Oryctolagus cuniculus: one gene and its partners. The protein of the gene in region 1 purifies or fractionates together with the protein of each later gene. This does not show direct contact. Links are inferred from orthologs where the notes say so. Each region holds a gene or a part of one and is shown in the gene's direction. Other genes may lie near its edges. The genes, in order: DPF2, SMARCD2, BCL7C, ARID1A, SMARCC2, SMARCD3 and ACTL6A.

Region 1 (3,976 bases):
GGGATGTATAACAGTCCTCGCCCCCCAGTGCCAGCTCCTGTCCCCTCTCCTGCCCTCTCGCGATAATGAGTCTGTTGTGTAACTTGACGTAAATGAGCCCGTACAGTGTGTTCTCGTGCATCTGGCCTCTCTGGATCGATATTAAGTGCTGGAGATTCGTTCGTGATGTGGTAATCCCTCGTTCTCATAGAGGGAGGGGCTTGCTGGATCATAGGGCAGGTGCACTCGGATGCTTAGTGCTGGCGAACTTTCGCAAACTATGCATTCAATTTTACTTGAAAGGCGGAGAGGGGGAGGACAGAGAGACAGAGATCTTCCATCGCTGGTTCACGTCCCGGGTGCCGGCCACAGCCCGGGCTGGCAAGCAGCAGCCCAGGACCCAGGCCAGATCTGCCCTGTGGGTGGCAGGGACCCAAGCGAGCTCTTCTAACCTCCTAGGGTGCAGGAGGTTAGCATGGGGAGCTCTGACCCCCGGGGCCCCGCAGTCCTCTGGGTAACAGGATCGTGCCGGCTTCCCTTCCACACTGCGACACCACTCAAACTCAGGTGCGGTGCAGGGTAAGCAACGGCCAGTTCCTCTCGACTCCGACCAGGCAGGCACCGTCCTGAATCGCAGGGACGGAAGACACGGCCTCACTCGGAAATGCTAACACGTGGGGGCAGGCCCCAGGCGCATCTTGGAACTGGCGCTGCGAGGGGCAAGGACGAAGCCTGGGGCGCTGGGCCGGGGGCGCCTGAGCGCGGGAGGCGGCCGGGGCAGGGTCTGGAAAAGCAGGGACCGATCAAGAAGCCCACCAGGACACAGAGCAGGTCTCTCAGTCTGCTGGGGTCGACCCTGGGCGACTCCGTCGGGAGCTGATTCCAGGGCTCCGCTGGGGCCCGAGTCGCCATTCAGCCGGGTGGAGGAGAGACCCGGCCGCCAGCTAGCACCGAGGCTGCCCGCGCTTAGGGGGCCGGAGGTGCGGCGCGCCCCTCTCACCTCCCGCCGCCCGCACCGCACCGCACCGCACCGCACCGCACCCGTGCGGTAAAAGCGTTAACCGAAGCCACAAAGGTCGGCGAGGAGCCAGGATACGTCCAGCCCGTCTCTGGGCCTCCCGGCTTCCGCCAGCCTCTGCCGTCTCGGTCCTGCACCGGCCCGAGCGCTCCCTCGCTGCGCTAAACCCGAAGGCCGGGCGCCCCCCGCCCAGAGGCCCGGAGCTCCTCGCTCCCCGGCGCGCACAGGCGGCGCGTGCGCAGAGACAGGGCGCGCGCGCGGCGGCGCGGTGGGCGGGGCACCGGCGCTCGCGAGCAGCCACGGCGCGTGCGCACAGGGACGCGGCACCCGGGGCCCCGCCGCGGCGCCGGCGCCTGCGCGCTGCGGGCTCCGGGCCCTCCCGGCCTGAGGGAGAGGAGCAGGGAAGATGGCGGCGGTGGTGGAGAATGTAGTGAAGCTGTGAGTGGTCGTTTCTTTCTCTCCCAGGCGGAGAGGTCTTGTGAGGGGCCTGGGAGTAGGGGGCGGTGCGGGAAGAGAGGAGGCGGCCGGGGGGACGGGCCCGGGAAGGCCGTGGTTGCCGCTCCGGGTGGGGAGTGCGACGCGGGGGGGGGGAGGACTCCGGAGAAGACGTTGCGCCTCTTTGGAAACTTGTGGAGGCCCTGGGCGGGGGGCACGCGGGAGCCCCTGCCCCGCGGCCGCTGTGCGGGGCTGTGTGGGAGCCGCCGCGGGGCCTGCAGGTCGCGGAGTGCGGCGCTCAGGCTGCGGCCCGGAGGAGCCGAGCCCAGGCCCCGGGGGGCCCCGGCGAGTCCCCGCCACGCGCGGCCGTTGGCCCGGAGCAGCAGGCTCGGCGGTCCCTGCGGGGCTGGGGTAGCAGGTGCGCAGGACGCAGGCAGCGCGGAGAAGAAGGGAGAGAAGTTGAGGGGGAGCGGGGCCCGAGCGGGCCAGGCCGGGGGGCGTCCTCCGGGCGACCCGGAGCCGTCGTGCGGGTCAGGGGTCGGGCAGAGCTAAATTGGGTGGTGGTCGGGGACCTGGGGGATGCTGCGGGACTTGGTGACACGAGCCAGCCGCCTGCCCCCCGAGGAAGAGTCCGGTGCGTTGGGAAGCGGGCTGGTGCCCGTGGGCGAGCCTGGGGTGGCCTTGTCGCCGCCGCGCGGACGCGTCTGGCCGTCCAGTTAGGGCTTTTTGGATTCTGGCTGGACGCCAAGGTCAGGTGCGGGGCGTGCTCTCTGGACCCCGCGTCTCCTCTTTGTGGTGGCCGAGCAGGTCGCCTCCCCCTGCCCGCGGCGCTTTCCCCGGTTCCATTAAGCTAAGTGCCTTCTCCCTGGCTTGTGGTTTGGTTTTTTTTTTCCTGACTTGCTTCTTGCTCTGTCCTGCTGCCCCTGGGAGCCAGCCCCCCGCCCGACGCGGTGGTTTCTGCGATCTGCCCACGCCGGTTCCCCAGCTCTGGGCTGGCGTTTCCCTCCCTCTGATGCCTTCCTGACTCGCGGGCTCTTTGTTTGCCCGCCGTGCTCTTTGTTGACCCCCCCCCCCCCGGGAGGGCCCACCTAGGCTCGGTTCCTGAAGCTTCTACCTGGGAAGCCTGTGCTGCGGCCTTGCCGGGTTCTGAGGGGGAGGATGCCCTTGGCCTTGGCAGCTCGGCTTCGCCCGCCGTCTGAGCCAGGGGGTCGGCCGCGTAGCTGCAGCCTGGCTTTTCAGGTCTCGGAAGAACCGGAGGGATTGTGAAGGTCATCAGCCGCCGACTCCGGGTGCCGACAGCGAGACCCCAGCTTCTCTGGGGGCCGGGACTGCTGCAGGCTTCCCTAGGAGGCTTCGCGCCCCTGCACCGAGATGCAGTCCCTGAGCCCCCGTCAAGGTCAGGGCCGCCCGCAGCTCGTCGGGGAGAGGGTGTTCTCTTTGTGAGTGCTCTGTCTCTACCGTGGTAGCAGAGTGGACGCCCCCTCTCGGGTCTCGCTGTGAGAGTACGGTGGTGCAAAACAGTGGTTTGGGAACTCTCTGAGTCAGGTACCAGAGCTGCAGGATAATTTACGTGAGATATCTTGCTACACGGCCTTGCGTTCCTAAGACCGATCTCTCGCTCTCCTCGTCAGATGCTTCCCACAGTGCCCACTGCGGTGTCCTTCCCAGCCCCGTTACCCCAAGACTGCCGCTTGCCCCGCTTCTGAAGTCCCCTAGGGTCCCCAGAGCTCGACAGAGCGTCTCACGCATCCCCGAGCCCTGCGGCCCGCGGACCCTTCTGTTCCCAGCGTCAGCGTCAGTCGCATCAGCAGAAACAGCCGCTGCACTGAGCCTTGTTTGTCCAGTTTCCTCTGCGTGGGGAGGACGTGGCTGCCTCCTCACGGCCAGCGATGGGAGCCAGCCCCGCTCAGGTCTCCAGCGCAGGGTCCTTGCCTGCATCCAGGCGGACTGTGCTTGGGCGATGCCGTCCCGCGATTGCCTGCTGGGGATGAGGGACGCTCCACTGTGCCGCTCACCGAAAGCCCCCATCCGATTGCAGAGCAGGGTTTGTTGGTGTAGCGCCAGAGGTGGGCATGAGCCCGGGAGACGTAGCGCGTGCAGCTCCTCACGCCCGGGGTTGCCTGCTCGTGGGTCCCTGGGATGTCAGAGCTCAGCGAGTGCAAGCTCCCGAAAATGCGGAAGAGACACTGAGGTCCATGCAGGGTTCGTGCAGGTTGACTAAGTGTCCGTGTTCGCGTGCTGACTTGGAGCCCGGCAAGGCCGTTTTATTCCCAAGTCCGGATTGACGGTGTTGCAGATGTTTTCATGGGTATTAGGGAGACTGGGGAGAGAAGTCACCTGTGCCCTCACTTTAAGAGGGATATATTGGCCGGCGCCGCGGCTCACTAGGCTAATCCTCTGCCTTGCGGTGCCGGCATACCGGGTTCTAGTCCTGGTCGGGGCGCCGGATTTTGTCCCGGTTGCCCCGCTTCCAGGCCAGCTCTCTGCTGTGGCCCGGGAGTGCAGTGGAGGATGGCCCAAGTGCTTGGGCCCTGCACCCCATGG
Region 2 (3,049 bases), on another chromosome or scaffold:
AACTGCTCCTCCTTGTGCACTTAGCATAGTTTGTCAGAGAACCCAGCAGCACGCCCTCACGCTCTCTTCCATGCCCAGCCTAGCAAACAGAAGAGGAAGTTCTCTTCATTCTTTAAGAGCCTCGTCATCGAGTTGGACAAGGAGCTGTACGGGCCTGACAACCACCTGGTGGAGGTGAGAAGGAGCCTGGGGCTGGCACGCCAGCAGGGAAATGGCCTCGGTGCCTTTGGAGGACCAGGAGTTTATTCATGGTCACCCCTTATGCTCAGCCGCTTCCCTCCTCCCTGCCAGTGGCACCGGATGCCCACCACCCAGGAGACAGATGGCTTCCAGGTGAAACGGCCTGGAGACCTCAATGTGAAGTGCACCCTCCTGCTCATGCTGGATCATCAGGTGACAGAAGCCCGGAGTATGGCTGGGCCTTGGGGACTGGCATGGGAGGGGAGCAGGCGCTTCTGAGCCCTTCTTGTCCCTGCCCTGTTACAAGAACCACCCCCTCCCTCCCTCTTCTCCAGCCTCCCCAGTACAAATTGGACCCCCGACTGGCAAGGCTGCTAGGAGTGCACACGCAGACCAGGGCTGCCATCATGCAGGCCCTGTGGCTTTACATCAAACACAACCAGCTGCAGGATGGGCACGAGCGCGAGTACATCAACTGCAACCGTTACTTCCGCCAGGTTAGCCGGATGCTGCCATCCTGTTCTCAGCCCCTGCCCGGAGGCTGCTGCCCTGCAGCCCAGTGGTCCTAGAACCCGTCAAACCCTCAGGTATCACCAAGTCTTCGGGACTCTCTCCCCCTCTCCAGATCTTCAGTTGTGGCCGACTCCGTTTCTCTGAGATTCCCATGAAGTTGGCTGGGCTGCTGCAGCATCCAGATCCCATTGTTATCAACCACGTCATTAGGTAACTGGAAGGAGGGGGATGGGAAGCAGATTCACCTCTGCTTTCATCTGAAGCCACAGACGCTACGGGTTGGTTTCCTGCTCCCCAAGTGTGTGTATAGACTGGTGTGGCCCAGGGGGACAGCACAGACACCCCCTCCCTTTGTGTGCTCTCAGTGTGGACCCTAATGACCAGAAGAAGACGGCCTGTTATGACATAGATGTGGAAGTGGACGACCCACTGAAAGCCCAGATGAGCAATTTTCTGGCTTCTACCACCAATCAGCAGGAAATCGCATCCCTTGATGTCAAGGTGGGCCCTCCGCCTCCACAAGCTTGTGTGGCTCAGGTGCAGGCAGGCAGCTGTTGGCCTCTGTGCCTGCAGCACCTGCAGGATGGGCTCTCTGGTGCCGCCCTTCAACTTTAGGCCTGGGAACAGACCCCCAAAGCTGAGGGCCAGTCTGACACATGCACCCCTTTTCCCAGATCCATGAGACCATTGAGTCCATCAACCAGCTGAAAACCCAGAGGGACTTCATGCTCAGCTTTAGCACCGACCCCCAGGACTTCATCCAGGAGTGGCTCCGTTCCCAGCGCCGGGACCTCAAGGTGTAGTCCTCCTTCCTGAAGGGGAAGCCCCCATGATGGTCCCCCCCACCCCCACCCCCCAGTTCCAGGGGCAATCAGACCAATGTCATTGCTTTCCTCCTGGCTCTCGGCAGATCATCACTGATGTGATTGGCAATCCCGAGGAGGAGAGGCGAGCTGCTTTCTACCACCAGCCCTGGGCCCAGGAAGCAGTGGGGAGGCACATCTTTGCCAAGGTGAGGCACTGCCTGTTTGCCCTTCTCGGCTGTGAACAGCAGGGGCCTGAGCATGGTCTCCTCCTCCTCTAGGTGCAGCAGCGGCGGCAGGAACTGGAACAGGTGCTGGGAATCCGCTTGACCTAAACTGCTCAGGGATCGCTTCCTTCTTCCCCCCGGGAGCCTAGTAGGGGACCATCCACCGGGGCCTGGCTGGGGGGCGAGGGCTGTCTGTCACTCTACTCCCCAACTTTAGTTTCATAAATGTAGTGGTAGGATTCCTTGTTGCTTGGTTCCCAAAGCCTTATTCCTTACTTTCCATGTTGGCTTTAATTGGGTTCGCAGGATGTCTCCTCTGCCCCCTGCAGGCAGGCCTGGAGGCTGTGCTTTGTTTTGGAACCAAAGGCGCTGGGTTTGCATGTTTACAGGCCCCTCCCCAGGCGAGCGGGAGAGCTGGCTGGGGGAGCTGGGCAAGGAAGATGAGGGGCAGCCCAGACTCTTCCTAACCTCCTGAAACCAAAGTTCTTTGTCATTCCTAGAAGCCCAGCTGTGTTGCTGGTTTTTTCCTTTCCTTTGGGTATTTGCACTATTTGGGAGCAGGATTTTCTATGTGGGAGCCACTTATTTTGTACAGGCGTATGTCGGGATTTTTCAGGGAGCCCTGTTTGGTGCCTCCTTCCTTTCTTTCCTGAATCTATGCAAGCGGCTCCAGCCGCCATCATCTCCTAGGATGCCGGAGGGCGGGGCGGGCCCGCCAGGACCCTCTGCTGCCCTCTGGAGCTTGGTAGGGAGGGTGGGCCTAGGGTTTGGCAAGTGCCACTTCTGGCAGGTTTGGAAATTTCCAAATAAATCCTTTTGTTTATTGGTGGTGCCCAGACCTGGTCATTTGAACAGAGCGGAGAGGCTTGTCCTACAGAGCTTTATTTGAGGGGTCCACACCAAGGATGCAGGGCTCACTTCCATAGTTTCTTAATGGACATGTTCTTCTCACTGTCCTTTTGCATGACCTGAGAGAGAGAATCCGGTAATGAGCACAGGCCCTGGCCCACTGCTCCAGCGCCATCAATAGCAAATGCAGGAAGTCAGAGGCGTCTACCTTGGCAACTGCCATCTCGAAGTCCTCCTGGGTGACATGGACTCGTCGTTCCCGCAGGGCATACATGCCGGCCTCTGTGCACACACCCTGAACAGGGGAAGGGAGCTGAGGCTCTACCACTGGGCCCCAGGGCCCAGAACTTCTACCCTGCCCTCCTTCCCTGAGTCTCTGATCACCTTAACTTCAGCCCCTGACGCTCCTGGCATCAGCTCAGCAATTTTTCTCAGGTTGATCCCCCGGGTCAGGTTCATTTTCCGAGAATGGATCTT
Region 3 (3,956 bases), on another chromosome or scaffold:
GCTGTCTTCCCAATCCTGTAACCCCTCTGGACAGGGTCAGAGACAGGACAGCCACACACAGCTGCACCGATTTAGACACGATCAGATCTGCTGATAAAGGAGCCTTCGAATCAACCAATCATTTTCTGCAAGGAAACTTCTGAGTCAACTGCAAAACACAGATGGAGAAACGCACACATCCCCAGCGCCCAGCTTGATGAATTTTCAGAGGAACTTTGCCCAGGGAGCCCGGGCCACATTAGGAAACAGACATGATGGGTTCCCAGAAGCCCCTCTGGGACCCCTCCCAGTCCCGAAAGAGACACCCTCCCGGCTTCCTAATCCTGACATTTTCCTATCTGCTTTCGAACTTCATAGAAATAGAACCAGGTGGTGTATCTGGCTTAAACTCAAGATCTGCTGAGGGAGACTTGTCCCGTCGCTGGGTGTAGTGGGACAGCGGGCATTCTTGCCCGCTGGGTCTCTGTCTTGGGTATCAATAGCTGCAACCCACTTCCCAGTCTCCTCTTGGTAAGCCGTTTACGGTTCGGGGCTGTTAAGAACGCGGCTGTGAACATCCCAGCTCACGGCTCTTGGTGCTCCTGTCTAAGCATTTCTGCTGGGTGCTGACGTGCTGGATTCCTGGGCTGGTCTTTGTTCAGCTTCATGGGAAAGTCTCTACCAATTCCCACTCCCCCAGAAACAGAAGGGAGGCCGCGCGGCTCCGCTGGCCCGCCCACACTCGGTATGGCCTGTCGTTCTCGCTATAGCCATCCTGGGGGGTGGAGACTCACTCATGTGTGCAGCTGTGGCGCGTAATTGGCACTGGGCTGCTAGATCGTTGAATGAATGAATGGGTGAACGAATTAAGTTGGGCAGCGTAGAATCAGCCAGCCCGGCGAGGGAGGAGGGGGTGTCCGGGGACACACACACGGTGTCTCAGGTTCGCACACCTGCACCCAGACCCTCTCGTGCACCCGAGCGCCCACGTGGTCTGGACGCGCCGCCTCGGCGGAGCCGCGCGCGTCCAAGTCGCCGAGCCAGCGGGCCCCCAACTCTCGCTCGCTCTCGGCGGCGGACAGGGGGCGCTGCGCGTCCGGGCGCCCCCGAAGGGGCGGGCCCGGGGCGGGGCGGGGCTGGCCCGGCTTCCAGGCCTGGGCTCCGGCACCCGCGCCGCCCGGCCGCTCCGGGGACGGGCCGGGGCGGGGCGCGGCGGCAGGAAGCGGGGCGGGGACTCGCGGAGGCGTTGGGGAGCGAGGGAGGGCGCGGCCAACTCCCGGAGGGGACGGCGGGCGGCGAGAGCGGCGCCCCGGCCTGGCGCCGAGCCTGAGCCCGCCGGACGGGAGGCAGCCCCGCCGCGGGCTCGGCCCCGGCCCCAGCGCCGCCAGCATGGCCGGCCGGACCGTACGGGCTGAGACCCGGAGCCGGGCCAAGGATGACATCAAGAAGGTGATGGCGACCATCGAGAAAGTCCGGCGATGGTGAGCGCTGCCCCGCGGCCGGGGCCGGGACCCTGGCGGGGACCACCGCCCCCTCGCGCGCCTCCCCTCCCCTCGCCAGCTGCGCCCCCCAGGTGTTAGGTGCGCCCCCGGCCACCAGCTGTGCGCGGGATCCCCAGGGCTCCGTCTCCCTTCCCCGGGCTACCCCCGGAGGTCTACAAAGCGTGGTCCCCAGCCGTGCCTTCGCCGGGCGGGAGCCCTCGTCCGTGCCCCGCCCCCTGAAGCTCTGACACTCCTGCAAGTATGGCCCGGGCTCCGAGCTGCGTCCCCAGGGATGGCCCCCTCCCTCCGGAGGGGTTCTGCCCTAGCCATGGCCCCGAGGCGTGCCCGGGGCGCCCCCTCCCCATCTTTGCCCTGGGCTCGCTCTCTCCAACAGTGCCTCATTCGCAAAACCGCCCCAACCCTCGTGCACCTCCCCCACCTTGCAGATGTGGTACCTGGGGCAGAGGCGGAGGCGGCGGGTCAGGCGGGTGCGCGCGGGGGGGGGGGGCGCCTCTCCCCTCAGGCCTCTCTGACCCAGCACCCCACCCTCCCACAGGGAGAAGCGTTGGGTGACTGTGGGCGACACTTCCCTTCGCATCTTCAAGTGGGTGCCGGTGGTGGACCCCCAGGAGGAGGTGAGCAAGCCCACCCCCCACCCCCCAAGACCCTGCATCTGTGCAGTCTCAGCCCAGCTCCTCCCCACCCTGGCCTCCACCTCCAGTGCCTACCGCAGCCCAGATGTTCAGGATTACTCGGCTGCCCCTCCCCCTCCCCCTTTCCTGCTCCAGACCCCCCCCCTGCAAGGCTAACCCAGCACGCACAGCCTCTGTCACCTCTGGCTGGGCCTTGGGTTTCTCTGTGCCTCAGTTTCCCCGTTTGTCCCCGTGGGGCTCTGCCAGGGCTGCCGGGAAACGCTGGCTCTGATCCTCATCCCTGTCACCCCCAGGAGCGGCGGCGGGCAGGTGGCGGGGCAGAGCGATCCCGTGGCCGAGAGCGGCGAGGCAGGGGTGCCAGTCCCCGAGGGGGCGGCCCGCTCATCCTGCTAGATCTCAATGGTATGTGTGGGGGCCCAGGCATTGCCGGGGGCGGGGAGGGGTGGCTGTGGGACCTGGAGGAGGGGCCTGGGGGCCTCAGGCCGACCCTCTGGGCTCTTGTTTCTGCAGATGAGAACAGCAACCAGAGCTTCCACTCGGAAGGCTCCCTGCACAAGGGTACCGAGCCCAGCCCCGGGGGCACCCCACAGCCCAGCCGCCCTGTGTCACCCGCCGGAGCCCCGGAAGGGGTCCCTGAGGAGGCTCAGCCCCCACGGCTGGGCCAAGAGAGAGGTAGGATCAGGTGCCACCCAGAGCCCCCTTCTCTGCGCCCAGCAGCTCACCCCGCTACCTGCCCCTCTCCCATGAGCCCCGTGGAAACAGTGCCCGCCCCTGCCGTCTCCTCTGGCATTTCCCTATCAATTTCAGTTGCTGCTCACATACTGTCTTCCTGCCCCGTCTCGTGTCGGCTTCCTGGAGGTCGGGCCCTCCCCGATCTTGTTCACGGCATCCTCCAAGTCTAGTGGGACGCATAATAGGTGCTCAATCAATGTTTGTCGAGTGACTAAAAGACGAAGCTACTCACGGGCGCTATTGATTGAGCTCTTACTGCGTGCCAGGTGCCTTCCAAACACTCTGTTCTGTTTTATCTCATTGACTCGCCGCCTCGGAGGGGTTAGCCTGCCCTGCTTCCTGTTTGTAGCTGAGGAGGCAGATCAGCAAGGTTAAGTCGGTCGCCCGAGCTCACACAGCGTCTTCAGGTTGAGGCTCCTCAGCTCCTCTTTCTTCCAGTTCACCCCCGCCCAGCGTGGCCTCCCCAGGCCACAGCCTGGCTCCAGCCGCCCCGCAGCTGTAGCACAGCTCTGCCTGAAGCGGGGGGCCGGGTGGGGCTCATTTTCCTGCTGTGGCTCCTTCTGCCCCCTGAGCTGGACGCTGAGGGCCCCCTGTGCGCCGTGCCCTGCCCGCCACCAAAGCCACGGCTTGGGCCTAGGGGCTGAGCCTGGACACCTGTGCTAATAGAGAAGCAGTAACTGGCATTTCTGGCGCACGTGCTGGGTGCCAAACACTTTGAGCTGTACTACCTCGCCTCCTCCTCCCGAGAGTCATGCACCAACTGCGACCCCTGGCCCCATGTTATGGATGGCTAAGGAGAGGCCCCAAGAGACGGAAGGAGCCGGCCCAAGGCCAGGATCTGAAGGCGGCCGCTGAACTCCAGGACCTGTGCTCACTACCCTGCGTTCCCTTTGTCTGAAGTGTGTTTTTCTTGGTAAAGCTACACCGCTTTGCAGATCCTGCATAAGTGTTCCTGCTTCAGTCTGGGGCTGGGACTTCAGCCAGGTCCTGGGCCCCTTTCTCTCTGTCCAGCTGCCTGTGTGTGTGTGTGCGCGCGCGCACGTGCGTGCATTTCTCCCAGTCTGACCTCTGGGCACAGAGTGGCTGCTCAGGGAATGACTGTTCACTTGAC
Region 4 (4,237 bases), on another chromosome or scaffold:
GCTTGATGACAGAGCTGGGAGTTTGGATCTATTCTGATATTTTGACCCCATTGCTGCATTTGCTCACAATTTGACTTTTTTTTCTTTAAAGGCTAAGTAGACAGGAGGCAGCTTTGGAGACTCCACTTCTTTTTAAAGCTCCCCCACCCCCCACCCTCCGACGTTAAATGACCTGGGCAGTGTCCTCCCCTCTCGGTCTTTCAATTCTGTAAAATGGGGATAATCCCGACCTCGTGCCCCCGGGGACTTGTCAAGACCAGCTAATGAGGGCAGGGGAGTGGGAAAACGCAGAGTCTGAACAATGATCGCTCGGCCCTTGCAAAGGGGTTAGAAAGCAGGGCTCTCTCGGCTGAGTCTTTGGGGCCGGTTTGTAAAAAGGCTTTCAAGAAGAAAAGTGCTGTGGAGGTGCTAAGTAACAGCCAAGAGACCAGGCTCGCTGCCAGGGGGGTCAGGCCTGGGCCGAGGCGGCCGCGGTCTCGGGCTCTGGCCAATTTTGCAGGCGCGGGTAAAGTTCACGCTGCCCGCTCCCCACGGTGCGGCCGGGAGGGGACCGGCCGGGGATCGGCACGCCGGGAGGGAGGCGGCGCAGGCTCCGGAGGGGCGCGAGCTCCGGGCCGGGTTTTCCCCGAAGCCTTCGGCGGCGGTGCTGCCGAGCGAAAGCGGCCGAGGGCCTGCCGCCGCCGCGGCTCGCTCTCTTCCCCTCCTCCTTTGTGAGGGGAAGGGAGCGAGTCCATTCCGCGGCGGCACCCGCTCCGCGCTCCACTCCGGGTTTGCCAGGCGGCCGCGACGGCGCTGGGTAAAATGGCAGTGCTGAGCCTCGTGTCGGAGTGAGGGGGACTCGGAGGAGAGTGGGGCGCTCTAGCCGCTCAGTCCTGCCGCCCGCTTGCTCGCCCGCCCGCTGCCGCGCAGCAGCCGCGGCCGGAGCCGCGGCCGGGGAGGGGAGGCAGGGCGCCCGGCCCGGCCCGCGCGCGCCGACTCTGCCTCCCGGCGCCCCGGCTGCTGCCGCGCGCCCTCCAGCCCGCCCGTCCCGGGTCCCCCTCCCCCCGCTCCCTCCCTCCCTCCCCGCCCCCTCCCCCTCGCCTCCCTCCCTCCCTCCCTCCTCCTTTCTCCGGCAGCAGAAAGCGGAGAGTCACAGCGGGGCCAGGCCCTGGGGAGCGGAGCCTCCACCGCCCCCCTCATTCCCAGGCAAGGGCTTGGGGGGAATGAGCCGGGAGAGCCGGGTCCCGAGCCTGCAGAGCCGGGAGCAGCTGAGCCGCCGGCGCCTCGGCCGCCGCCGCCGCCGCCTCCTCCTCCTCCGCCGCCGCCAGCCCGGAGCCTGAGCCGGCGGGGCGGGGGGGAGAGGAGCGAGCGAGCGAGCGCAGCGCAGCAGCGGAGCCCCGCGAGGCCCGCCCGGGCGGGTGGGGAGGGCAGCCCGGGGGACTCGGCCCCGGGGCGGGGTGGGAGGGGGGGAGACGACGAAGACAGGGCCGGGTCTCTCCGCGGACGAGACAGCGGGGATCATGGCCGCGCAGGTCGCCCCCGCCGCCGCCAGCAGCCTGGGCAACCCGCCGCCGCCGCCGCCGCCGCCGCCCTCGGAGCTGAAGAAAGCCGAGCAGCAGCAGCAGCAGCGGGAGGAGGCGGGGGGCGAGGCGGCAGCGGCAGCAGCAGCAGCCGAGCGCGGGGAAATGAAGGCAGCCGCCGGGCAGGAAAGCGAGGGCCCCGCCGTGGGGCCGCCGCAGCCGCTGGGAAAGGAGCTGCAGGACGGGGCCGAGAGCAATGGGGGTGGCGGCGGCGGCGGAGCCGGCAGCGGCGGCGGGCCCGGCGCGGAGCCGGACCTGAAGAACTCGAACGGGAACGCGGGCCCTAGGCCCGCCCTGAACAATAACCTCACGGAGCCGCCCGGCGGCGGCGGCGGCGGCGGCGGCAGCAGCAGCGACGGGGTGGGGGCGCCTCCTCACTCAGCCGCGGCCGCCCTGCCGCCCCCAGCCTACGGCTTCGGGCAGCCCTACGGCCGGAGCCCGTCTGCCGTCGCCGCCGCGGCGGCCGCCGTCTTCCACCAACAACATGGCGGACAACAAAGCCCTGGCCTGGCAGCGCTGCAGAGCGGCGGTGGCGGCGGGGGCCTGGAGCCCTACGCGGGGCCCCAGCAGAACTCGCACGACCACGGCTTCCCCAACCACCAGTACAACTCCTACTACCCCAACCGCAGCGCCTACCCCCCGCCCCCCCAGGCCTACGCGCTGAGCTCCCCGAGAGGTGGCACTCCGGGCTCCGGCGCGGCGGCGGCCGCCGGCTCCAAGCCGCCTCCCTCCTCCAGCGCCTCCGCCTCCTCGTCGTCTTCGTCCTTCGCTCAGCAGCGCTTCGGGGCCATGGGGGGAGGCGGCCCCTCCGCGGCCGGCGGGGGAACCCCCCAGCCTACCGCCACCCCCACCCTCAACCAACTGCTCACGTCGCCCAGCTCGGCCCGGGGCTACCAGGGCTACCCCGGGGGCGACTACGGCGGCGGGCCCCAGGACGGGGGCGCCGGCAAGGGCCCGGCGGACATAGCCTCGCAGTGCTGGGGGGCTGCGGCGGCGGCAGCGGCGGCGGCGGCGGCCGCCTCGGGAGGGGCCCAACAAAGGAGCCACCACGCGCCCATGAGCCCCGGGAGCAGCGGCGGCGGGGGGCAGCCGCTCGCCCGGACCCCTCAGGTACACAGCTGAGCGGGGAGGGGGGCTGGGGCGAGCTGGGCCGGGCGGTGGGGGGGTGGGTGGCGGCTGCGGGGAGCAGGCCCCAGCCGTGGGCTCCGCTCGGTCCCGGGCCCCCACTGCTGGGGAGCTGCCATTGTCTGGCTCTTCTCTCTTAAAATGGCTGCCTGTCTGCCTTCTTCTCCTTCCCTCCTTCAGCCTTTGTGTGGGGCTTTTCCAGAGGTGTCTGCTGCCCGGCTCCCCCTCCCCTGGCCCCTGCGAACTCCGCGGGTCTTCAGGGGGGTGCGGGGCAGAGTGTGCGGGGAAGGGCCCGGCCTGGGGTGAGGGGGTGCCGGGGGCTCAGATCAGGGGTGTAAGCGGTGGTAGGAGCCCCGGAAGGCGAGCGAGCGTCCCCCTGCTCGCCTGCCGCTCCTCTCTGTGCCCCCTGCTTGTCTCTAGGCCGTCCCCCGTCTGTGCTCTCGAGGAGGGGCCCCTCGGGCCCGGGGGACCTCGCGGGAGGGTAGGGGCCTTCTTGGGGGCAGCTAGAGGCCGGCTGCGGTTCACCCCGGGCAGCCCGGCCATCGCCTGTCTTGGTCTCCGCCGGCCCAGTGGCCTGGGCTTCTCCCTGGAAGCGCTGGTAAACAGCTGAGTGATTGGAGTAGTAAGTGCAGATTGCTTTGGTTTGGGATTTGAATTATGGAGGTAAAATCCTTCTGTCAAAGCCAGGAGACAGTTGGTCTTAGGTTGACATCCTATCTGTGATCTGATTGGCTCCCCATCTCCTGCTCTTGGCCATTTATAATTGCCTCTGATGTAATGGTACAACAATCCTGATGAGCTCATAAACTTTTACACTCTGCTTTTCTGCCAGTGATAACCCAAACCATCGCTGCCACTATCAGCCTTTTTTATTCCAGAGCTGAAATTGGCTGTGACCTTGAGGAGGGAGGTTTAAGCCGCAATACTGTATCAGCAGGAGCAGAGCCCCAGACAGGCTGCCCTTGTTACATTGTGCCTGAAACAAAAGAGGAGGCCATGGCATTTTGCTTGTACCTTGGATTTATTTTGCTTGTTATATTTTATGCAGCCTGAAATAGATTCTGTGTTGTCCGAACAGTAGCTGAGTTTCTTCTCTACAATGGGTTTGCTGTTTGTTTTGGTTTTGTGACTTTCCTGATGGGATAAATGACTTCTTTGATGACTGTGAAGATGCATTTATCTTGAGTAATTCTGACACTGTTTGCAGAATTGAAATTATTTTGCTGTTTGGTTTTTTTTTAATTGAGTGGCAAATGTGGGACCTTTGTGGGGAGGGGGCATTTTTGGTTATCACTGTAATCCTTTTTAAAATGGGGAGCTTTCTTTGGGAATTTCATGTTAGATTCAAGTGTTCTGTTTTAAGCAAGGCTGGCCTCATTCTTTGTTTACATGTTGAATCTTGTTAACAGTTTTCTTTTGTTAATTAGACTTCGGGAGAGCAACTTAAAGAGAAACTGGTGTCTTTCATGATGTTGAGGGACTTTCTCCTGAAGGCTTGCTTTGGCGAAATTATTGTCTCTTCCTGGAATAACAAAAAGGCTAGTTTTTTGTTT
Region 5 (3,500 bases), on another chromosome or scaffold:
TCTCTGCACACCAGGGTGAAGGAAAGAAGGACCAAGTCCTTCCCGTAATCTTCCAGCCGTGACCTGGACGTGCCATATACCGCAGGTGTCCTGAGCTCCCAACAGTTCCAGTCCCAGCCATCACCTCACTCAGAGAGCTTCATCACCAAATGAAAAGCCTCTGCCACTTCCTGTTACCCTGCAGCGCTACCCTTGGGATTCTTGCTTCCCTTCCTTGAACCTCAACATCCGAGGATGACTGGATTTTCTTTTACTCTCTCTTTCCCAGCCCTTCAACACCTTACACCAAGTCAAAGCGTGGCCACAGAGAGGAGGAGCAAGAAGACCTGACAAAGGACATGGATGAGCCCTCACCAGTCCCCAATGTAGAAGAGGTGACACTGCCCAAAACAGGTATGGGCCGGGCCAGGCTAATTCCCTTAAACAGCTGGTTATTGATAGGATTTTCATTACCAGGGGAAATCCTGTAACTTCATACCCATATCTGAGTTGTGCTGCTTTATACCTGACAGTACTTATCTCCAAATCTCCAAATTTTTTTATGACCCCTTTACACATTTTTAACATAAATTTTTATTTATTTATTTTCATTTTGTTTAAAAAGCAGAGAGGGATAGAGAAAGAGTCTCCATATGCTGACTCACTCCTCCATATGCCCACATCAGCCACAGCTGGGCGAGGTTATGAAGCAAGGAACTCAGAACTCAATCCAGAATCTCCCACATGGGATCTCTCCACGTGCTCTCCCACCCAAGCTCTGAGCCATCCATCACCTGCTTCCTTCCAGGGTACACACCAGCATGGAGCTGGAATCAGAAGTGGGCTGGGACTTGAACCCAGGCACTCCAATCTGGGATATCAGTATCCTGAGTGGTATCTTTTTTTTTTTTTTTTTTTTTTTTTTTTTGGACGGGCAGAGTTAGACAATGAGAGAGACAGAGAGAGACGGAGAAAAAGGAGACAGAGAGAGACAGAGAGACAGAGAGAAAGGTCTTCCTTTGCCGTTGATTCACCCCCCAAATGGGTGCTACGGCTGGCGCGCTGCACCGATCCGAAGCCAGGAGCCAGGTGCTTCCTCCTGGTCTTCCATGCGGGTGCAGGGCCCAAGCACTTGGGCCATCCTCCACTGCCCTTCCGGGCCACAGCAGAGAGCTGGACTGGAAGAGGAGCAACCAGGACAGAATTCGGTGCCCCAACTGGGACTAGAACCCAGGGTGCTGGCACCGCAGGCAGAGGATTAGCTAAGTGAGCCGCGGCACCTGCCCTCCCAAGTGGTATCTTTAACCACTGTACCAGATGCCTGCTCCTCCAAACTCTTTTTCCTTAAACACTCCTGTTGGTAAGATAGATTCGAGCACATACTCTTTATGGGTACTATGAAGCCAGTCACTACCTTAGGGTCATTACAAAATACATGTGGAGTGGGTGTTTGGTATGGTGGGTAAAATGTTGATTCATCCCGTATTGGAGTGCTGAGTTCAGGTTCCAAGTCCAGAATTTCCTTTTAATTCTATCCTCCTGCTAATGTATACCCTGGGCAGTAACAGATGATGGATCGAGTAGTTGGGAGATCTGGACTGGGCTCTGGGCTCTTGACTTTGGCCTGGCCCTGTCTTGGCTGTTGTGGGAATTTGGGGAGTGAACCAGCGATTGGGAGATCTCTGTTTCTCTGCTTTTCAAATAAAAAATATAAAACATCTAAAAAATAAAAAATGTAAAGGATAATAAAAACAAATACAATGGGAAGTTCTGGCCTCTCCTGTGTTCCAGTGGATGATTTTTGCATCTGATATGATAACTTTCCTTTGGAGGCCATCGTTTTGCAAAACTGGCTTATGATCTGTATTCCATAGACTAGCTTGAGGTATTCCAGGAGTATATTTCAGGATGGGGTTGGAGCAGCCACTGAGAGGAGTTCTGGCTTCTACCTGCTTATCAGTCAGGTCTTCACTGTTTTCTCCTGAGCTTTTTTTTTTTTTTAAGATTTATTTATTTATTTAAAAGTCAGAGTTACACAGAGAAGGAAAGGCAGAGAGAGGTCTTTCATCTGCTGGTTCACTCCCCAATTGGTCGCAACGGCCGGAGCTGCACTGATCCAAAGCCAAGAGCCAGAAGCCTCCTCCAGGTCTCCTACACGGGTGCAGGGGCCTAAGGACTTGGGCCATCCTCCACTGCTTTTCCAGGCCATAGCAGAGAGATGGATTGGAGGTGGAGCAGCCAGGACTCGAACCGCCCAAGTGGGATGCCAGCACTGTAGGCAGCGGCCTTACCTGTTGTGCCACAGCGCCAGCCCTGTCCTATGCTTTCTTTTTTTTTTTTTTTTTTTTTTGACAGAGTGGACAGTGAGAGAGAGAGACAGAGAGAGAAAGGTCTTCCTTTGCCGTTGGTTCACTCTCCAGTGGCCGCCGCAGCCGGCGCGCTGCGGCCGGCACACCGCGCTGATCCGATGGCAGGAGCCAGGTGCTTCTCCTGGTCTCCCATGGGGTGCAGGGCCCAGGCACTTGGGCCATCCTCCACTGCACTCCCTGGCCACAGCAGAGAGCTGGCCTGGAAGAGGGGCAACTGGGACAGAATCCAGCACCCCGACCGGGACTAGAACCCGGTATGCCAGCGCTGCAAGGCGGAGGAGCCGCAGCGCCAGCCCTGTCCTATGCTTTCAAAAATGTTTAAGAACATAACTGTTCCTCTACAGCAGAGATGGGGGAAGTTTTATTTGGCCAAGGGCCGGGCCATGTGGATATTTCTAAAATCATTTGCAGGCCATACCAAATTATTAGAGATTAGCCAGCTATAGGTTTATTGAATTTTGAGTCCTCTCTGCAGTTGCCTTGGTAGTGCCAGACCAAATGATTTTGCGGGACTTCTATGGCCCATAGGCCAGACGCCCTCTACGTTTGCCCTAGAGGGTGATTTGCTGAAAATTAAACCGAGTCCTTTGCGAGCTTACAGACGCATAGTTGGAGGTAGGGGCCTGTCACAGACAAGAATGATTTGTGGGGACGGCGCCGCAGCTCACTAGGCTAATCCTCCGCCTTGCGGCGCCGGCACACCAGGTTCTAGTCCCAGTCGGGGCGCCGGATTCTGTCCCGGTTGCACCTCTTCCAGGCCAGCTCTCTGCTGTGGCCAGGGAGTGCAGTGGAGGATGGCCCAAGTCCTTGGGCCCTGCACCCCATGGGAGACCAGGATAAGTACCTGGCTCCTGCCATCGGATCAGCGCGGTGTGCCGGCTGCAGCGCACCGGCCACGGCGGCCATTGGAGAGTGAACCAACGGCAAAAGGAAGACCTTTCTCTCTGTCTCTCTCTCTCACTGTCCACTCTGCCTGTCAAGAAAAAAAAAAGAATTATTTGTGAATATAAGTGTAGAGAGTAGTCACAGGTATTTTTGGTTGGAGAAGGGAAGAAGGTAGTGAGTGTTTCAAGCCCTGGAATGATTGGGGCTGGAGGGAGTTGCTATGTTTTGCAGTCAAATGGAGAAAATTTGTTGAGAAAGTAGGATATG
Region 6 (4,298 bases), on another chromosome or scaffold:
TGAAGCCCTGGTAGGAAGGGGGAATTTCTGGGTCCCCCCCACCAGGCCAGAGGTAGAGCCTGAAGCAGAGACCCTCTCTGCCTTTCAGTAGACAGTGGGAACCTACATGGGCGCTCACAGCCCCGCACGCAGTCGGGGCCCAAGGGAAACCAGGCTGCAGGCAGAGTCTGGGCAGAGCTGTCCCGCGTTCTTTGTCCTGAACTCCCCAAGGCAGGAGGGCCAGGACCCGCAGGGCAATGCTGGGTCTTCAGGGCCCAACTTCAAGTAGGTGTCCCGTTGCCCCGCCCTCACCTGTGTTGACACCGCAGCCCCAGCAGGCCCTTAAACTTGACCCTCTGTCGTCCCAAAGCCCACGGGCCCCTCCTCCGGGAGGAGGAGATAGGGGCGTGGCCTTGGGGCATGGGCGGGGCCAGGGCGCCCAGTCTGGGGATCTCAGGATTCGCCCCTCCTCTTTCCTGTCTCTCCTCCACCCCAGGGACTGCCAGCTCCCTGCACACCGCCCCTTCGGGGGCTCGCTCTCACCCCACCCTGCGCCCCGGCTTCCTCTGGGATGCTGAGGCGGGCCCGACCCCTCCGGGGTCCGCACCCCTAGGCCCTCAAGCCCCGCTTGTCTCCTGCTTCCCAGACGCCCCCACCGAAGCCCCCAGCCCGGCCCTGCGCCGCCTCGCCCCGCGTTTCCCCCTCGCTGCGCTCTCTGAGCCCCGTCCCCGTCCCTCCTTCCGAAATACTTGCCCTCCTGCCCTCACTTTCTCACACAGAGGCAAACAAAGACCCACATACCCAGAAATAGCCTCGCGCGGAGCGGAGCGCGGCGCAGGCCGCGTCCCGGCCCCACGCACGCGCGCAGGCCTGGCGGCTCCCGCGCAGCGAGGCCCCCGGGCGAGGCGTCCGTCCGTGCGCCCTCGTCAACACCCGCAGCCGCCGCGCCGGGCCGCAGGGTGCGGACGCCGGCCGCCAGACAAGGGCACAACACACACACACACACACACACACACACAGCCGTGCGCGCAGGGAGCGCCTCCTCCCCGGCACACCCGGCGCGGCCGGCCTCGGCTCCCCCCCGGATTCCTGCCCGCGAATGTTTCCCTACTTGGCCTGCCAGGTCTCTGGGGAAAGGGCCTCAGAAATGCAGCCGGAGCCTCTCGGGGAGGGAAGAAAGTTGGAACTGACTGTTCCCTGCCTGGCCCTGCCGGCGAATTCCCTAACCGAGCAGCTATTTGTGGCGAGAGCCCGGGTGGCCGGCGAGCCCCCCGCCAGCTCCCCGCGCGGCCCTCGGGCGGCTCCGGGCTGCAAGCGCCGCTACCCTGCGCCCAGGCGGGGCCGGGCTCGCCGCGCACCTCGCCGCTTATCTGCGCTGTTTGGACAGCGCGGGCTGCAAAGGCCGGCGTCCCCGTCCCCGCCGAGTCAACAGGCAGACCCCGGGCCGCCGGACTATTTCTGTCTTATCAGTGCAGGAATGCGGCAGCCGCGGCGGCGGCGGCGGCAGCGGCGGCGGGCGGGCGGCGGCGGCGGCGGCGTGGGCCGTGGGCCGTCAGGGCAGCCCTGAAGGGGCCCCCTCCCCACTCCGCTCGAGTAGAAGTGTGAGAGAGCCCAGCAGGACTCAGAGGGGAGAGTTGGAGGAAAAAAAAGGCAGAAAAGGGAAAGAAAGAGGAAGAGAGAGAGAGAGTGAGAGGCGCCGCTGAGCCCACCCCGATGGCCGCGGACGAAGTTGCCGGAGGGGCGCGCAAAGCCACGAAAAGCAAACTTTTTGAGTTTCTGGTCCATGGGGTGGTGAGTGGGGGAAAGTTAGCGGGGGAGGGTGAGCGAGCTGGCTCGGGCTGAATGGAGGGATGGCCGGGAGGGGCCGGGAGGGCGCTCCCGCGCGCCCACCCCTCCGGCGGGGGCGCCGCGGCCACAGCCCAGCGCCGGGACCGTGCCGGCGCCCTGGCGTGCCAACACGTCGTCAGGCGGCGGGCCGGGGATGGGCGCGCGCGGCGGGGAAGGCAGGCGACTGCGCGGGCTCTTGTCAGGGGCGGGCGTGGGACTGGGGGACTCCCCCCACCCAGGTGGGGGTCCCCTTCTGTGGCCGACATGTTGTCTGGGTTCCCCAGCGGGCCCAGGTGTTACCCCTTCCCCGGGGGTGGGGGCGGGGGACGGGGACGCGGCGCAGCCCTGTTGGGTTGTCTGTTCACATCCGTTGGGACGGTGTCACTCTGTTTCCAGAGCGTGGAGCAGGTGACCCTGGAGGCACTGTGGGCGCGAAAGCCCTCTGGCTGAGCAACCTCTGTATCCTGGCAGGAGGGCACTGGGGCATTTTCGGCGTAGCCCCTGCCATCAGGGTCAGGGAGAGGCTCCCTCTAGGGACAGACTCCAGGTGGAAGGAGTCCGAGCGTCCCCTTGGCAGACGCCTGTCCTTAATATCTCCAAGGTGTGAAGAAAGGGCCGGAGTCGGGGACGTGAGGCCTAGGGATCCCAGGGACAGGGCAGCCCCAGAGGCACGTGGGAAGCCCCAGGCAGCCTCAGCAACCCGAGGCAGGGCACGGAAGAGGCCTGAGCTGGGTGGCTCGGGGGCCACGCTGGGTGTGGAGACGCGAGAGGGGACGACGTCAGGTTCACTGCGGCCACATTTGGCCGTGACCCCCCAGGAGGGCACCTTCTTGGTGAGGGAGGCCAGAGTCCCTGAATCTTGGCCTGTTGTGGGGGTGGTGCTGGTGGCTGGCACAGCTCCCTGGGGGCCCTGGAAGCCTCCCAGCAGAGCAGGCAGTATCCCTGGCCTTGACAGAGAGGGAGCCCAGCTGATAAAGCCAAGGGGGTTCCTGGGTCAGCCTGGCCTCCAGCGCTGGGCATCTCTGGGGTCGACTTTCCAGGGCCTGCATGTCCACCAGCTGCATCACCGGTCCTAGCCTTGCTGCTGCGGGGAGTTCCTTTGAAAAGGCCCAGCTAGCAGGGAGAGAGGCTCGACATGGGTCTCTCTCTCTCTCTCTCTCTCTCTCTATATATATATATATATGGCCAACTTAATGCTTCAGTTCTTAGGTGGCTCGGCGCCCCACCATCCCCACTCCCAGTGCCCCATCTAGGCTGGCGGAGAATGGTCACCAGCTAGCTCCATTCTGGGTTGCCACCCTGGAAGCATGAGTGACAGGGTCAGGTGGGGTGGGGGGAGGCAGACACATGGTCGGGCAGGTTTCACTGCTGGAAAGATGGACAGAGACAGCTGCTGGCTGGGAGTGGGAGGGCTTTAGGGGCAAAGTCAGGGGCAGCATCGGGGCGTCTCCTTGGGCCTAGGGTGAGATAATGGAGTGGATAAATGACAACAGGGGCCCCTTGCTCCCCAAGATTCCTGCTTTTCCCAGTCCCCATCCCACCCACTCCCCTGCTGCTACACAAGCCCCTGAAACCCTCATATCCCTCCTGAACTCTGGACAAGTGGCAGTAGCACTTCACTCATTTGCATCTCATTTACACCCCATCCAACCACCTAGGGGCACATGACCCACCTCATCTCCCTCTCCACCACCCTCTTTGAAACCTGGCTTCACTGGGGTGGGGGTGAGCAGTGGAGGAAGCCTGCTGGGTGTGAAGCCTTGGCTGATGGCTGATGGGTGCGGGTGGACACGCTGCTTCCTTTGACCTGGCCCAGGCCCCCTGGTAGCTCACCTCCAGCCCAGCTCCCCCTCCTCCCAATCAGAATCCTGGCAGGCTGTGACGTCAGCCCCTCAGGTGCCTTTGCCCTTGCTCTGCCTTCAGCCTTCACCCGGGGAGCAAATCTTGGGGTCCAGCTTAGTTGCTGAAGCCTCTGGGTGTGGAGTCAGCTGGAGGGGATGGAGTTTGGGATGCAGAGGTCCAAAAGCAGGGCGTGGAGAGAGGAGGGGGCAGCTGAGGAGGAGCCGGTGCAAGGCAGAACAGCTGGAGGAGTGGAGACCAAGAGGGAGGGAGCCGTAAGGAAAGTCAGAGCAGGGAGCTCAGCCCCTAACTTCAACGAAGCCGCAAACGGCAAAACGCTGCGGCCCTCAGGAACCCGGAGCCCTTCAGGTGTTGTCCTAGCCAAGATGAGCTGCGTGACCTTGGCGAGGTCGCCGTTCTCCTTGAGCCACAGTTGCCTCGTCTGTCAAGTGGGAATGAGAGGACCTGTTCACTGAGTCTGGCAGAGGCGCGTGAGGGTGTGAACCTCCTTTGGAAGGTGGAAAGGCGCCATTGCCAGTTACTGTGCGTTTTTGCGGTACCTTCCGCAGCTCCAGGCTCGGCAATGCCCTGGACAATTGCCTGGCTTCAGTTAGCTTCCTGCAGCGACACGCCAAGCCCCCTCCGCCGAAGCC
Region 7 (3,500 bases), on another chromosome or scaffold:
GGAGAGACCCAGAAGAAGCTACTTGCTTCGGCTTGGTCCAGCCACAGCCGATGCGGCCATCTGGGGAGTGAACTGGAAGAAGGAAGACCTCTCTGCCTCTCCTTCTGTCTCTGTAACTCTGACTTTCAAATAAATAAAAGTAAATCTTTAAAAAAGTGGATTATATTTATTAAAATATTAATTGCTAAGTCAAAGAATCACTCTCAAAAGATACTTTATTCATCTTCAGCCAAGCATTTGTTTTCAAGCTCTTGCTCTTATATTCTAGTTGAAGACTGGGATAGTTTCCAGGCTATTTTGGACCATACCTATAAAATGCATGTCAAATCAGAAGCCAGCCTGCATCCTGTTCTCATGTCAGAAGCTCCGGTGAGACAAACACTTCCGTGTTTCTTTAGTTGTTCTTTTTTCCTTTAGTTTTCAGCTCATTTGAAGAATATTTGCCTTTTTCCACAAAGAAGTTTAAAAAGTTATATTTTGAGTTTGAAAATTAGGGAAGGGGGAATTAATTTCTAACTACTATCATAACTTTTATTATTTCAGTAAAAGATTCAGAGAACTATAATACACAATAATGGGTCCTAGTAGTTATCTACATTTCCATGGATTTAAAATTTATTTTCTTGAACTGCCTCCCATTCTGGATTATGCCCCAAGGTCATTGTAAATCTGCTTTTATACTCAAGCTCCAAGAAGTCAGATGCTTAACAAGGGCCGACTGTTTCTATGAAGTCTCTTGTGAAATACATTTAGTACCTAGCCAGAAAGGGCCCAGAAGGCTAGCATAATAACCAGCATGATCAATATCTTTTTTTTTTTTTTTTGACAGGCAGAGTGGACAGTGAGAGGGAGAGACAGAGAGAAAGGTCTTCCTTTGCCGTTGGTTCACCCTCCAATGGCTGCCGCGGCTGGCGCGCTGCGGCCAGTGCATTGCACTGATCCGAAGCCAGGAGCCAGGTGCTTCTCCTGGTCTCCCATGGGGTGCAGGGCCCAAGCACTTGGGCCATCCTCCACTGCACTCCCTGGCCACAGCAGAGAGCTGGCCTGGAAGAGGGGCAACCGGGACAGAATCTGGCACCCCAACCGGGACTAGAACCCTGTGTTCCGGCACCGCAAGGCGGATGATTAGCCTATTGAGCCACAGCGCCAGCCCCATGATCAATATCTTGTTGCTGTTTCTAATTATAGTTTCTTTGGGAGCACCAACTATAAAAGGGAGAGTTTGGTGTTTTAAAATTAATATTTTATTTTGATTACCAGATATGCTCTTAAGATTTAATAATACTTTGTTTCTGAGAATCCTGATTTCCTTGTATTTTTGAAAAGCTTATACTTTCTGGAATTCATAGTAGTTTTACTAATTATAATAAATTTAATTTATATCTGATTTGTCATACTTGTTTACAACAAATGTAGATATTATAAAAGGTCATTTACTATGCTTCATTGTTTTTAAATTTTTGCTAACATAGTACTATAATGTAGCTTGAGGTAAGTCAGCATTTTAATTCTTAATAAGTAATTTGCATTTCTTTATTTTTTTTCAGTGGAATACTAGAGCAAAGAGAGAGAAATTAACAGAGTTAATGTTTGAACACTACAACATTCCTGCATTCTTCCTTTGTAAAACTGCAGTTCTGACAGCGTATCCTTGAAAGAGTAGTACTCAGCTTTTCTCTAGAAGAATATATGCTGCTGCCAAAGATACAAGACAGTCCTGGCAGAAGACGTGAGCCAATTCTCACTCATTCGGAAGTTGCTTTTTTCTCTATACCTTTCCTTTTTAGCTGTCTGACTCATATTGAAACTGATGATATACCAGAAGATGTGAGAAGAAAATAGGAAAGTGACATTCAGATCATATTTGCTTTTTTTTTTTAAAGATTTATTTATTTATTTGAAAGTCAGAGTTACACAGAGAGAGGAGAGGCAGAGAGAGAAGTCTTCCATCCAATTGTTCATTCCTCAATTGGCCGAAATGGCTGGAGCTGCCCCGATCCGAAGCCAGGAGCCAGGAGCTTCTTCCAGATCTCCCACATGGGTGCAGGGGTCCAAGGACTTGAGCCATCTTCTGCTGCTATCCCAGGCCATAGCAGAGAGCTGGATTGGAAGTAGAGTAGCCAGGTCTTGAACCGGTGCCCATATGAGATGCTGGCACTTCAGGCCAGGGCGTTAACTCGCTGTGCCACAGCGCCGGCCCTGAGATCATATTTGTCAACTTGTGTGTGTGTGTGTTTTTTTTTTAATAAAGGGAGTGTGGCTGTACAACAGTGTTTTAGCATATTAGCTAAAATGAATGCAAAGATTGCCATTTCCTCTCTCACTTCTAGTATCAAACAAAATTGGAATTTGGCTATAAATTCATTTGAGATTTAAGCACTCATCAGAAAGTTACTGCAAACACTTTAAAGATAAGGAAATATTATGTCTTGAATGCAAAGAATTTGTAATTTAAATATTCTTCTTAAAAGCTAAGTACTGTAACAGATTTAAATAGTACTTCAAAACATTGGCAAAATTCTTAAAGAAGTACTTGATTAATCTGAATTTTTTGTATAGTAATTGTGATAGTTCAGAGGAAGAATATAATAGCTTGACAGTCCTTTATAAAGATAATAGGATACAGTCATTTGAAGTAGAAGAAAGAGCTCTGCACTTAAGGATCCACTGTTTACAGAAGTGTGGTCCTGAAACATGAGACTAATGTTTTACTCATATAACCTGTATACCTCCCTGGCTTGCTATCATATTCAAGTAAGTTTTTGTATACATTTGAGAATCACTGTGTTAACAGTTATCTAACACTTTTATGTAGTGCTGTATCTCTGAGATGGCTTTAGCAAAAGTGCAAGTACTCTCTTGACTCTTCTCCCATGGGCTCCTATTCTCACCCGTGTCATCCCCAGTTTACAGTTGGATGTCCCAGGAATAGCTTAGGTGGTCCCTCCTTTATACCCCCTGCCCCAGGGTATTCTAGACATTTTACAACTTTAGTGATCTGTTTGACTAAATGAGATATCCTTCAGGGCAGACAGTTTCTGTTCACCTTTATGTGTACTCTGTGCTTAAGGAATCTGTGCAACAGACTAAATAGGCACATAATAATTATTCAATAAGTACTTGAAGAAATGAATGCCCCTGGTCCTAAACATGAGTTTAGGGTGTTCATGTGATATAGGCCTTCAGCAACACAGCTGTAGAAATGGGATCTTGTCGTATTCACTGGATATCCAATACACCTGGAGTAGCTCTTCTACCCCAGTGAGTTGGAAGAAGTGGGAATTGCCACTCAACTGCCAAACTACTGAAATGATTCCTCAGTGCTACTTAAGAATGGGTGTAGTCCCTGGCTCAAATATCACACATCCTACTCGTTCTTACCAAGTTGCTATACATTTTGTTAAAGAAATGCTTTTCGGCCGGCGCCGTGGCTCAATAGGCTAATCCTCCACCTTGCGGCGCCGGCACACCGGGTTCTAGTCCCGGTCGGGGCGCCGGAT

Evidence for each region.
Region 2: the proteins of DPF2 (region 1) and SMARCD2 purify together in Homo sapiens (affinity purification with mass spectrometry; 6 studies listed by BioGRID and IntAct, counting the BioPlex papers as one, with this or other methods). This does not show direct contact. The link is inferred for Oryctolagus cuniculus from reciprocal best matches to the Homo sapiens genes DPF2 and SMARCD2.
Region 3: the proteins of DPF2 (region 1) and BCL7C purify together in Homo sapiens (affinity purification with mass spectrometry; 4 studies listed by BioGRID and IntAct, counting the BioPlex papers as one, with this or other methods). This does not show direct contact. The link is inferred for Oryctolagus cuniculus from reciprocal best matches to the Homo sapiens genes DPF2 and BCL7C.
Region 4: the proteins of DPF2 (region 1) and ARID1A purify together in Homo sapiens (affinity purification with mass spectrometry; 6 studies listed by BioGRID and IntAct, counting the BioPlex papers as one, with this or other methods). This does not show direct contact. The link is inferred for Oryctolagus cuniculus from reciprocal best matches to the Homo sapiens genes DPF2 and ARID1A.
Region 5: the proteins of DPF2 (region 1) and SMARCC2 purify together in Homo sapiens (affinity purification with mass spectrometry; 8 studies listed by BioGRID and IntAct, counting the BioPlex papers as one, with this or other methods). This does not show direct contact. The link is inferred for Oryctolagus cuniculus from reciprocal best matches to the Homo sapiens genes DPF2 and SMARCC2.
Region 6: the proteins of DPF2 (region 1) and SMARCD3 purify together in Homo sapiens (affinity purification with mass spectrometry; 3 studies listed by BioGRID and IntAct, counting the BioPlex papers as one, with this or other methods). This does not show direct contact. The link is inferred for Oryctolagus cuniculus from reciprocal best matches to the Homo sapiens genes DPF2 and SMARCD3.
Region 7: the proteins of DPF2 (region 1) and ACTL6A purify together in Homo sapiens (affinity purification with mass spectrometry; 5 studies listed by BioGRID and IntAct, counting the BioPlex papers as one, with this or other methods). This does not show direct contact. The link is inferred for Oryctolagus cuniculus from reciprocal best matches to the Homo sapiens genes DPF2 and ACTL6A.

The regions. Positions count from the first base shown.
Region 1 is NC_091432.1:6,292,617-6,296,592, reverse strand, and holds the start of DPF2 (zinc finger protein ubi-d4), read left to right. Parts: upstream 1-1,176; 5' UTR 1,177-1,403; coding exon of another isoform or gene 1,404-1,435; intron 1,436-3,976. UniProt on the Homo sapiens protein: Plays an active role in transcriptional regulation by binding modified histones H3 and H4. Is a negative regulator of myeloid differentiation of hematopoietic progenitor cells. Might also have a role in the development and maturation of lymphoid cells.
Region 2 is NC_091448.1:14,883,575-14,886,623, forward strand, and holds the end of SMARCD2 (SWI/SNF-related matrix-associated actin-dependent regulator of chromatin subfamily D member 2), read left to right. Parts: intron 1-78; coding exon 79-174; intron 175-291; coding exon 292-393; intron 394-515; coding exon 516-677; intron 678-805; coding exon 806-903; intron 904-1,058; coding exon 1,059-1,194; intron 1,195-1,367; coding exon 1,368-1,490; intron 1,491-1,603; coding exon 1,604-1,705; intron 1,706-1,777; coding exon 1,778-1,831; 3' UTR 1,832-2,549; downstream 2,550-3,049. Other genes in the region: PSMC5 (26S proteasome regulatory subunit 8), read right to left, coding at 2,638-2,691, 2,781-2,867, 2,957-3,049. UniProt on the Homo sapiens protein: Involved in transcriptional activation and repression of select genes by chromatin remodeling (alteration of DNA-nucleosome topology).
Region 3 is NC_091450.1:6,250,678-6,254,633, forward strand, and holds the start of BCL7C (B-cell CLL/lymphoma 7 protein family member C), read left to right. Parts: upstream 1-1,156; 5' UTR 1,157-1,368; coding exon 1,369-1,460; intron 1,461-2,016; coding exon 2,017-2,095; intron 2,096-2,406; coding exon 2,407-2,515; intron 2,516-2,623; coding exon 2,624-2,785; exon of another isoform or gene 2,786-3,011; intron 3,012-3,101; exon of another isoform or gene 3,102-3,956. UniProt on the Homo sapiens protein: May play an anti-apoptotic role.
Region 4 is NC_091438.1:144,806,946-144,811,182, reverse strand, and holds the start of ARID1A (AT-rich interactive domain-containing protein 1A), read left to right. Parts: upstream 1-1,437; 5' UTR 1,438-1,499; coding exon 1,500-2,669; intron 2,670-4,237. UniProt on the Homo sapiens protein: Involved in transcriptional activation and repression of select genes by chromatin remodeling (alteration of DNA-nucleosome topology).
Region 5 is NC_091442.1:58,981,423-58,984,922, reverse strand, and holds part of SMARCC2 (SWI/SNF complex subunit SMARCC2), read left to right. Parts: intron 1-268; coding exon 269-393; intron 394-3,500. UniProt on the Homo sapiens protein: Involved in transcriptional activation and repression of select genes by chromatin remodeling (alteration of DNA-nucleosome topology).
Region 6 is NC_091438.1:22,579,621-22,583,918, forward strand, and holds the start of SMARCD3 (SWI/SNF-related matrix-associated actin-dependent regulator of chromatin subfamily D member 3), read left to right. Parts: upstream 1-1,498; 5' UTR 1,499-1,692; coding exon 1,693-1,770; intron 1,771-4,298. UniProt on the Homo sapiens protein: Involved in transcriptional activation and repression of select genes by chromatin remodeling (alteration of DNA-nucleosome topology).
Region 7 is NC_091435.1:100,236,305-100,239,804, reverse strand, and holds part of ACTL6A (actin-like protein 6A), read left to right. Parts: intron 1-268; coding exon 269-369; intron 370-1,547; coding exon 1,548-1,645; intron 1,646-3,500.